2 linked regions of the Canis lupus familiaris genome follow. The protein of the gene in region 1 purifies or fractionates together with the protein of each later gene. This does not show direct contact. Links are inferred from orthologs where the notes say so. Each region holds a gene or a part of one and is shown on either strand. Other genes may lie near its edges.

The links. Proteins that work in one complex are often made in the same cells at the same time.
Region 2: the proteins of SDC2 (region 1) and FGF2 purify together in Homo sapiens (affinity purification with mass spectrometry; 4 studies listed by BioGRID and IntAct, counting the BioPlex papers as one, with this or other methods). This does not show direct contact. The link is inferred for Canis lupus familiaris from reciprocal best matches to the Homo sapiens genes SDC2 and FGF2.

What each region holds. Positions count from the first base shown.
Region 1 is NC_049250.1:41,598,722-41,603,960, reverse strand, and holds the start of SDC2 (syndecan-2), read right to left. Parts: upstream 3,214-5,239; coding exon 3,177-3,213; intron 1-3,176. UniProt on the Homo sapiens protein: Cell surface proteoglycan which regulates dendritic arbor morphogenesis.
Region 2 is NC_049240.1:18,290,036-18,295,357, reverse strand, and holds the start of FGF2 (fibroblast growth factor 2), read left to right. Parts: upstream 1-1,652; coding exon 1,653-1,658; intron 1,659-5,322. UniProt on the Homo sapiens protein: Acts as a ligand for FGFR1, FGFR2, FGFR3 and FGFR4. Also acts as an integrin ligand which is required for FGF2 signaling. Binds to integrin ITGAV:ITGB3.

The DNA of each region.
Region 1 (5,239 bases):
AGAAGAAGAAGAAGAAGAAGAAGAAGAAGAAGAAGAAGAAGAAGAAGAAGAAGAAGAAGAAGAAAGAAGAAAGAAGAAGAAGAAGAAGAAGAAGAAGAAGAAGAAGAAGAAGAAGAAAAGAAGAAGAAGAAGAAGAAGAAAAATAAAGAGTGACCAAAGACCCCCTATCGACCCAAAATGCAGCACTTGGAAAGCTCTTGATTTCATGAAGGACTTAAATACCGTTTCTGCCTCACACAGTCTCAGCCCCTAAATCATCTTAGAGGCTCCATCTCAGCCTAGGGGTGTTAAAGTTTGGAAGCTACAAATAGGGCAGTTTGATGAGAAATTGGATAGAGACACTGAATAATAACAGATTTAGGAGAACTTCAAAGAAAAGACAGAGAAAGTAATTTCTAGTTTGGAGAAAATAAGAAGCATGTATTTCCTGAATGGAAGTAATTAATCTGAAATATTTTGTGATGGAAACTGTTTTTCAATTCGGTGTCTATGGCACGCATCCTACAGAACACCGCAAATACGTTCTTCCGCCTGTTAGAATCTTTTCCTCTCTGGCTTCCGGAATAAGTCAAATGTGCAACTATTCTGCTCCTAAAATGCCCATTCCAGGAGACCAGGGACCTTTCTGTCTTTTCTACCACTGTATTCTCATTCCTGGTACATAAAGACACACAATAAATATTTATTAGATAAGTTTTGGTCTAAAACTCAGTCTATAGTGCATGAGAGTTGTGAAACTGTGAGAAACATAGATATAGATAGATAGATACTAGGCCATGGTAATTTTTGAACTTAGAATAAAATAGAGCCTACTCTGAGAATCACAGTGTCTCAGTGGCCGTTCACTGCAATAAATCTCAAAGAAAGAAATTTAGAGAACTGGGAAGTTACAGCTCAAAGTCAGAGGCATCAGCTCTTCCATGCTGAGTGCCATCCGCCAAGCTCCCCACGGGCAAGTCGAACGTGCTGATAGTCCAAGAGGAAATGTGGAGAAGCAGAAAAGTGGGCAAAGGAGAAAGAGAGAGAGGAAGTCAGGAGAACTGGAAGTTGTATCATCGGACGCTCCTAATTCCACAGAAACTGGGCTGGCAACTGTGGGTCAGCGTGGGTCTACCTTGGTTTTTGGAAGGATGAACTACAGCCTTATTTTTAAGATGGATTCTTTGTGGCTTAAAGAATTGCATGAGATGGAGGAGAGAGGGACTTCGAAAAGGAGTTTCCAAAGGAAAATGAACAGTGTGAGAGAAATGCAAAGAGCCTCAACTGTTGCCTCTACCGCCAAGAGAGCTAGTCTGCTTTTCAGGCCTGGGGCAAGGCTGCACCTCCTTTCTCCCCAACGGTTAGAAACATCAAATAGATCAGAACCCCAGTGAAAGGGGGAAACGCACTCACCTGCTGGCTCTCCAGGTTACTGCTGTCTGTTGGGGCATCTCCCTAAGGAGGACCATGGTGGCCGCTCCCTGCCTCAGCGTGGGCAGACAGCGATCAAAGGAAATAAGCCCGTGCATCTGTTCAAGGAACATGCACCCCCAAAGCTCTTGGTGCATATGAGCCTCTTGAGGTTTATGCAACATTGAGAGTACGGATAATAAGGGGATGGTGCCATTTTGAGAGTCACATAATATCAGGTATTTGATAACAAAGAAATATTCAAATCTTGTGTCCAAATGCATTTGAGAGTCAGAAGGTGTGACCAGAAGGATAATCTGGACGTATAAAAGACGCAGATGGTAAAAGCACGTACGCAAGACGGGGTTACTAAAGACCTGCCTATGCTGGGGGCGGGGGGTAGAGGAGGGTGGTAAGGGACAAGGATGTCTGCTGCTGTTAGGGACATTTCTAAAGTCGTAAATGAGGAAGGTCTGTGTCTTTGGGTTGCTCTAAGGAAAATATCATAGACTGGCTTCTGAACAAGAAAAATTCATTTCTCACAGTTCCGGAAGCTGAGAAGTCCCAGATCAAGGCACTGGCATATTTGGTGAGAGCGGGCTTCTTGGTTCCTGGAGGGCTCTCTTTGCTGTGTCCTCACAGGGTGAGGGAGGGGGTGACCGCGTCCTCTGGAGCCCCTTTGATAAGAACCCCAGTGCCATCCATGAGGCCTCTACTCTACTGGCCTAACCACCTTCCAAAGGCCCCACTACCCGACACCATCACCTTGGAGATTAGGATTTCAACCTATGTATAGGAGGGAGTCTGGGGAGGGGGATCCAGAGGCACAAACATTCCGTCTACAGCAGCCTGTTGCTGTGTTTTGCTAACTGCAACTTTTTTTGACTGAATAAAACTCTATGGAGTTGTGTGGCGCATGTATATCTCACACACGGAAAGCAGGAAGCGATTAAAGGCAAGGGTTCCCCCCAGTGTGCTTTCAGGTCCTCCGTTCGAGGGCTGTGCTTTAGGGGGCACCACAGGTAAAATGGCAAAATCAATCATTGCCCAACCGCTCACTGATTGCTGAAAGAATAAACAACCTACCTCAGGAATCTCAGAAGAAGATAGAGAAGAGGAACAGAATATAGAGACAGAGATCAGAGAGCAGGCGTGTAAGAAGGGGGGGCGGTGAATTAAAAGGCACAGAACACCCGAGAAAAACAGAGACGACAGGTACTAGAGACATATTTTTAACCTAAGCCGACACCCTGGACCTTGTCACCAGGGTCCTTAGTGACGTCGCATGATCGCCGGGACTAGCAGGTGCTGTGGCCCGAGGTGAGCTGTCAGAGAGGGAACCGCAGGGGGACAAAGATGCCGCCTCGGTGTTTCCGACTGGCCTTCACTTGGCATTCCCTGGAATGGTACCAGCGGTTCAGGCTAGAAATCTATTTAGTCGGATCAGCCCTGACTAAATTCACTTGAAAGATGATAGAACCTGGGAATACGAGGAAATCCAGCCAGCCAACTCTCAATTACCCACGCTCCTCAGGGCCAGTGCGCGGAGCCGTGACCAAAATCTACAGGCAAGCCCAGCCCAACAACAGCTAACACCTAGTTTTAGCCTCCGTCTTTTGACCTTTCTCTCCATTCACCTCCATCGCTCCTTTGTCGGGGAAGTTGGCTAATTGTTAGATGAAGAGCCGCTCGTCCTCAAGTCGCACGTCGGTGATTAAGGTTCCGTGTCAAATGTCATCCTAAAGTCAGAAATGGAGATTTTAAGGAAACCGTTGTTTGCAGGCTACCTCGTTTGGGGGCATCAAACATCGACCTACGAGCCATCCTCGGGTACATGAGCATAGGAAGGGTCCACAAAGGTATCTTCAAGGTGCTGGCACCGCCTTTGTGCAGGTCCCGTGGGACGGGGAGACACAGTCCGGGCCGACGTTAGGGACGACGGTGCTACCGCTGTGACTGCCACCCCGACGCCCTGCCCTTGGTGCCACAGTCCCTCACCTGCTCCGGCAGTTACGCGGACCAGGTCGTGCGGGGGGCGAGGCGATTTATTAGTGCCCACCACTTAGATGCACCCTTCCGATCGTCTCAGCCGAGGAGCTCGGGGTCGAACCCAGCTGCGCGTTTGGATGACTCCCAGTCACCCCAGACTGCCGAGGGTCCTCGTGTGTCCTCGACGATGGATGTACAAGGGCAAGGACAAGCAGGTAAACACACAGGTAGACATAGGGGACACGTGTTGCCCGCATAGTGGAGGGTCCTGACTTTTCTTTTTTCTTTCTATTCTTTTTTCTGGCTCTTGTGAGACCCAAATCAAACTTATTCCTTTAGGATCTTGAGATAGTTTAGTGTCCTTAGGGTAAAATTTTTATTTTTCCTTAGGTGGTATAAGAGGGCTTCTGTTCCTGGTCAACAAACGATCCCAGACAAAGACAGAGATGAAGACGAGGCAGCTTTGACTGTGACTGTCTTCACTCTGAGTACAGTGACATCCTCACCCTCCAGGGCTTTATAAGGCATACGTAGGTAAAGGACGCTCTTAAATCAAGACCAACCACTCTAAAAATTACTTTTAAAAATTATTTAGATTTGTGAGGGAAAAGATCTATTAAAAAATAATGTTTTGATTCTTGAATTACCTTTCCATGCTCAGTAGAGCTGGGTATCTTAAAACCTCTCAAAGAAGAATAGAACATACTGATATTTCTCTGCATAAAATAGCATTAATACTGGCATCACCTACAGGTTAATGCAGGGAATTATTTCATTGAACATTATCCTAAAGCATCTAGAAGGCAAAGTGCACACATGTCCAGGTGTGAACACGTTTCTAGACTCTTTCAGGTAGTGCAATGAGAAACGGGTGAGGTGGTCGTGCGTGGGAGGGCTGTTGAGTTCCCCAAGGGGCGAGGAGACGGACGCACCCTCGCACCTGCTGTGGGGGGAGGCGGTGTCCGTGCTCTGCAGGTGGCCACGCGGCTGGGTCACACACCGGCTGGGCTTTGGGTGCCAGTCCCGCCCGTCGCCGTGTTCTGAGAGGCCTTGCCCCTGAGCGGGCCGCCAAGTCCAAGCCTCCATGTCCTCACTGTGACTGGAGGTGAGTGAGTCAACGGGTGGAGTCCACGCGCAGTGATGCCCGCATGTCACCCAGGCAGGCTCGACGTCTGCACCTGTTGTCTCAGGGAGCACCTTGGCCTTGAGGTGCGTCCTCTGCCTGGAGTGGCCGGCCTGTCCATGCAGCATGAGCTCGGGGTGTCCGGCCCACGACGACCCGCCCCTTCCAGGTGGTCTTCCCGGGTCCCCCAGGCACCGCAACCCCGCTCAGACCATCGGTCCTGGCCTGGTAATCCCAACCCAGGGTGGGCTATGTGGGGTCTGTACGATCCGCTGGTACAAACATGTCATCTTGTGGCTGAAAGTACGAACAGAAAGAACCCGAATAACATTAGGAGGACATAGGAACAAAATCACCCAACATTCTCTCCTAACAACAGGTAGATGGACAGACAATGTGCGCCGTAACCAGCTTAAACCCAAATCAAAGCCTAGAAAAAGAGTCTAAAATTCCAACATGGCAAGTTCTGAAATAAAAATGAAGAGAACTGGATTGTGAAAACAAACAAAAAACCATCCCTTTGAATTCAGATAGAACTAAAATGCTCCTGGGAAGGAAACAACGCCGTCCGCCGGGGCGTCGGGGCTCCGAATGTCCCCGAATGTCGCCGAATGTGCACGTCGGCTCTCCCTGGAGCTGAGAGCAAAGCCCCGACCGACAGAGGGCGGAGGTTCCCTGCAGGGCCTCAGGGCTGCCTCCTGGGGCCCCCACCGGGCCCAGGCGCCCCCCAGCAGCCCA
Region 2 (5,322 bases), on another chromosome or scaffold:
TGATGCTTCCTCACTGATGAAAGAAAAAAAAAATTCAATCCTGCCCTCTGAATACAAATAAACACGGGCTATAGTCAGCCAGTTTTAGTGAGTTGGAGTTTATAATATTTCTAAATCTGGTACCCATTGCTGTGTGACCATATGTGGTCAGGTTAAAGTTAAATGTTTGGAAAGATTTCTGGGAAAATAGAAGTATTTCCAAGGAAGGAGAAAGAATCTTAGAACTGAAGAGAGGGAAAAACCCTATTCTTGGTCTATTTCATTCTTTTGTATCCAGAAAGACTAACAAAGGAAGAGTCCATAAGTGGATACTCTATTCGGAGAACTGCAGGAAAAGTGTTCTTATAACTTCCTGCTGTGATGCACTCTAACTCAGTCTTTGAATAAAAGAAGCTAATGATGCATGGGAATTTGGATGATTACCACAATACGTGAATATTGTGATGAGAGTTGCCCCATCTTGAAAACTATTTGTCTTGTTGGTGTCCCTTTAAGATGTGAACATTCAATAATTAAAGGAATTGTAACCTCCGATCATCTGGTCACTAAACATCTACTAATAAAGACCAGTTATTTTAGCTTTATTTACCCTACTGGTTTCTACTAACCATGTGTTCTTGTAGGGAGATAGGGAGTGCAGAAGTCATCAGAGAGCTGTCTCCTGGAATCCCAGAGGACATAGCCAGAGATGACTGACACACAGCATTTTACTTTCTGGACCCTCTGCATTTACTTTTTTTTTTAGGATTCTCATAGAAAATTATTATATTTTCCTTACTACATGTATTCTAAAATAAGTTATTTAAATGAGAAAAAGTAGTACATGCATGTGGTTAAAAATTAAAGTTGCACAAAAATAGGACAATTGAGAAGCCTTCTTTTGCAGTTTCCAGTTCCCAGTTCTTCCCAGATGTAGGCATTACTGAAATACTCTATGCCTATCAAAGCATACATATTGTGGGTGCATGCATGTTTTTCCATCATGAAAATGGAAGCAGAAGGGCACCTGGGTGACTCAGTCTGTTAAGCACCTGCCTTTGGCTCAGGTCATGATCCCAGGGTCCTGGGATTGAGTCCAGGGTTGGGGATCCCTGTTTAGCAGCAGCCTGCTTCTCCATCTCCCACTCCCCCTGCTTGTGCACTTTCTCCCTGTCAAATAAAATCCTTAAAGAAAAAAAAGAAAGAAAGAAATTGGAAGCACACCATACACATGGCAGCATGCCTTATATTTTTCACTTGTTTTCCATTTTGTCAATATATCTTGGAGATCATTCCATAGTCATACATAAAGATTGACTTCATTTTTTTTAATTGCTATACTTCATTACAGAATTGCATCTGTAGTGATGGGCTCTCAAAAATATTTATTAAATGAATGACTTTACTATAATTTCATTTATAGGCCTGGTAGGTACTGATACCCCTCCTTTTTTTTTTTTTTTCATTAGGCTCCACCCTGGGCATGGAGCCCAATAGAAGGCTCACCACCCAGAGATCAAGACCTGAGTTGAAATCAAGCATCTGATGCTTAACCCACTGAGCCACCCAGGTGCCCCGATAACCTTTTTTCTTACTGCTTAATTCCAGGCTTTTGCAACCATAAATAAAGCTGAAGTACATACATTCATACATCTGTGGACATATGCGCGAATATGTCCGTAGGATAAATTCCTAGGAAAGACATTGCTGGCTTAAAAGGAGCACATTTCAAATAATTGAGTGCTCTAGCCAGTTTGATCTCAGACGAACAGTGACAGAGAGTGCCTATTTCCTTCTATCCCCTAATGCTATACATTGAACTTTCTATGTCCATCTGAGAAGTAGATCAATATATCTCATCCTAGGTTTAATTTGCATTTCTTTTACTCACATGTTTGATATTTCATTTATATATTTTATAAGGTAATCTACATAAATATTATGTGCTTATATACTGTTTATATTTATTTTTCTATAAAAAACTTGTTCATATTTCTTTGCCTCTGAGTCTTTTCTCAGTGGTATTTAAGGACTCCTTACGTGTTTAGAAGATTCACTTTGAGATCATGGACACTGCATAGCTTCCCAGTTTGTCATTTACCTTCTGAGTTTGTTTACAGCAGGGGCAACCCTGGTGTGGGTACTTATACTAAACCCCTATCATTGAAGGGGTCATTCATAGTGCTTTCCCAAAACCAAGAAAGTTTGTCCCAAAGGTAATTTCGGGTTCCCACTTTTTCAAGGTTGCTTTAAGATGACTGGTATTTTGTTGCTGTTGTTTTCTATTAAAGTCCTGACTGGGATCCCTGTCCATTCCCACAACCCCAGACCCAGGGTGCCCTCCCAGGCTGATAGAACACTTACTGCGTCCCAGAGGCTCCCATATGCATGGTTTGTTCCCACAACCATCCCCTCAGTTATTGAGCCCTTAGGACTGTTGGATAGGCCACACCATAGCCTGCCAGACATCCTGGGAAAGCGTTTCCCGCCCTGCGCTGCCATGATGCATAGGTTTGAATGCTACTTCCTGACAGCCCTCATCTGTGGGACTAGTGGTCAGTCAGGCCATCTTTTTTTTTTTTTTTTAGATTTTATTTATTTATTCATGAGAGACACAAGAGAGAGGCAGAGACATAAGCAGAGGGAGAAGCAGGTTCCTCACAAGGAGCCTGATGCAGGACTCGATTCTGAACCCCAGGATCACGCCCTGAGCCAAAGGCAGACGCTCAACTGGTGAGCCACCCAGGTGTCCCCAGTCAGGCCATCTTGATGGATTCCTAGGTGTCTTCCATCTCACACAGCTCAGTTCAGACCCAGAATCTAAGATAACAGGTTTTTTTCTCTGAGTTTTGGCACATAAAAAAAAAGTATCTTAATTGAGGGCCAGGATGCCCATTTAAACTAATGTCAAAATAAAAACAAATGGTCAATGAGATTAGTTTCTGAGCAGATTACACAGAAAATAAAGAATAACAGAGTTTTCAGGTAAAGGGTCATCTTTGTCATGTATTTATTACTAATAACATCTGTTTGAATGGAATGAATATAAGGATGGCTGAGCTCCTCCTCTGATAGCTCTTCCCACGCAATTCTTACTATTGAGTTGATCTAATTAAAAAATATAGACCATATGAAAAAAAAACTTTTACTTTTTAGCATCCCTTTCTTTAAAAAGTAAAAGAATAAGTCTTTGTGGTTGTCCCTTGGCCCTCAGAAAGGCCCCAAAGATACCTTAAGAGTAAAAGACATCATGAAGTTTTAATTTTTCTGAACTTAGGGGTTGAACTTGGGAAAGCAACATCAAAGAGTCTAATGAAAGGAGACTAGTCGCTTGATTAATGGAGTCACATAGGTAACTGAAAATAATGAATGACTAGATTGGCTATTTAGTAGAGTGACAATATAATATTTAAGAATAAGGGGAGGTGGGCAGGGGATGGGGTGACTCGGTGATGGGCACTTGATGGGATGAGCACTGGGTGTTATGCTACATGTTGGCAAATCAAACTCCAATAAAAAAAATACAAAAAAAAAAAAAGAATAAAAATTGCCAACTGTAACATAATTAAGCCTTGGCTATTTCAGGAACCTTTAGGTGTTTATTGTTTGTTTATTTGTTTTTCAAAATCAAGAATAAAAAGTCAAGATAAAGCACAGAACATTATTCTGGTGAGATCAGGATCTGCTACCTGGACATAAAAGATAAACAGAAAAAAAAAAAAAAGATAAACAGTACTTTTTTATACCTCTTGTGGAAGCAAAATAACAGCTGATAGTCATAATGACAACTTGAGAAGTGATAAAATTATTTTTGATGTACAAGGTTTTAGAAGACAGTCATTTCTGCATTTTAGTGGGATTTCATAAAGACATAAGTTTAGTGTGGTTTCATTAAAAACAGTTAACATTTAGAGTTCCACAGTCATTGACCACACCCATACGTAATGTAGACAAGGAGACAAGGAGTGGTTTTCAAAAACAACTTTTTAAAATGAAATTAATGCACACATTCTCTTAAAAATACTTGTTCACGCCCTACTTAGAGCAACAAGGCCCAAGGATACTACAATATTTAGGGTAGAAAGAGCCCTCCTTTAAGGGATCTTGTGTTCTACTAGAGTAAAGGAATTGATAATAAGTAAGGAAATAAACAAGATACAATTTTAGACAAGTTTTATGTGATAGTAGCCAGAAGTTATTGATATAAAATAAAAATAATTTGACTACCCAAAATAATGAGTACTAACATTTTAACACATATCATTCTAATATGTGTTTGGGAGTATCCATATGGCTACACAGAGCATGTTAGTTTGTATGAATATAACATGATTTATTCAAATTAGTTTGTTCACTTTGTTGGTCTCTCATTTTTTTCTCCATTACAATCAATGTTATAAAGAAACCAAAGTTGCAAACATATGTAATATTTTTCTTTAAATTTCTTGCACAAAACCTTATTGGCTCAAATGAAATTTAATTTCAAAAGTTGAAGGACTCAATGCACATATTTTTAAACTGCCCTTCCAAAATGATACAGTAATTTATCCTCCATCCATCAGTTCATGAATGACATGACAATACTAACATCAGTTCTTTTTTCTTGCAACTTTAGGGGAGAAAATTTTCATTTTTATTCTAGCATGCATGTCTCTATTTGTTCTAATATGTAATTTACATACCAAAACATTCACCCTTTTAAAGTGTACAATTCAGTGTTTTTAGTATATTCATAAAGTTGTGCAATTATCACAGCTATCTAATTCCAGAGCTTTTTCATCACTCCAAACAACAACAAGCCCATACCTATCAGCAGTCATTCCCGATGTCTCTCTTCTTCTAGGCCCTGGCAACCACTAATCTGCTCTGTGTCTCTGTGGATTTGCCTATTCTGGACATTTTGTATATCCTACAATATGTGGGCTTTTCCATCTGGCTTTTTGACATAGCATAATATTTTAAGGTTCATCCATGTTTTAGCATGCATCAGTTCTTCACTTCTTTTTATTGCCAAATAATATTCCATTGTATGGACATACCACATTTTCTTTATCCATCACTAGTTGATGGACATTTGGGTTGTTTCAACTTTTTGGCTATGAGAAATGATGCTGCTAAAAAAAAAAAAATAAATGATGCTGCTATAAACATTCATTGACTTAGTTTTGCATGGCCATATGTTTTTGTTTCTTTGGTATCTATATGTATGAATGGAATTGCTAGGTCATATGGTGACTCTGTGTTTAATTTTTTGAGGAACTACCATACTACCAGACTGTTTTCTAGATCAGTTTTATGTTCCCGCCAGCAATGCACAGAGGTTCCAATTGTTCCACATCCTTG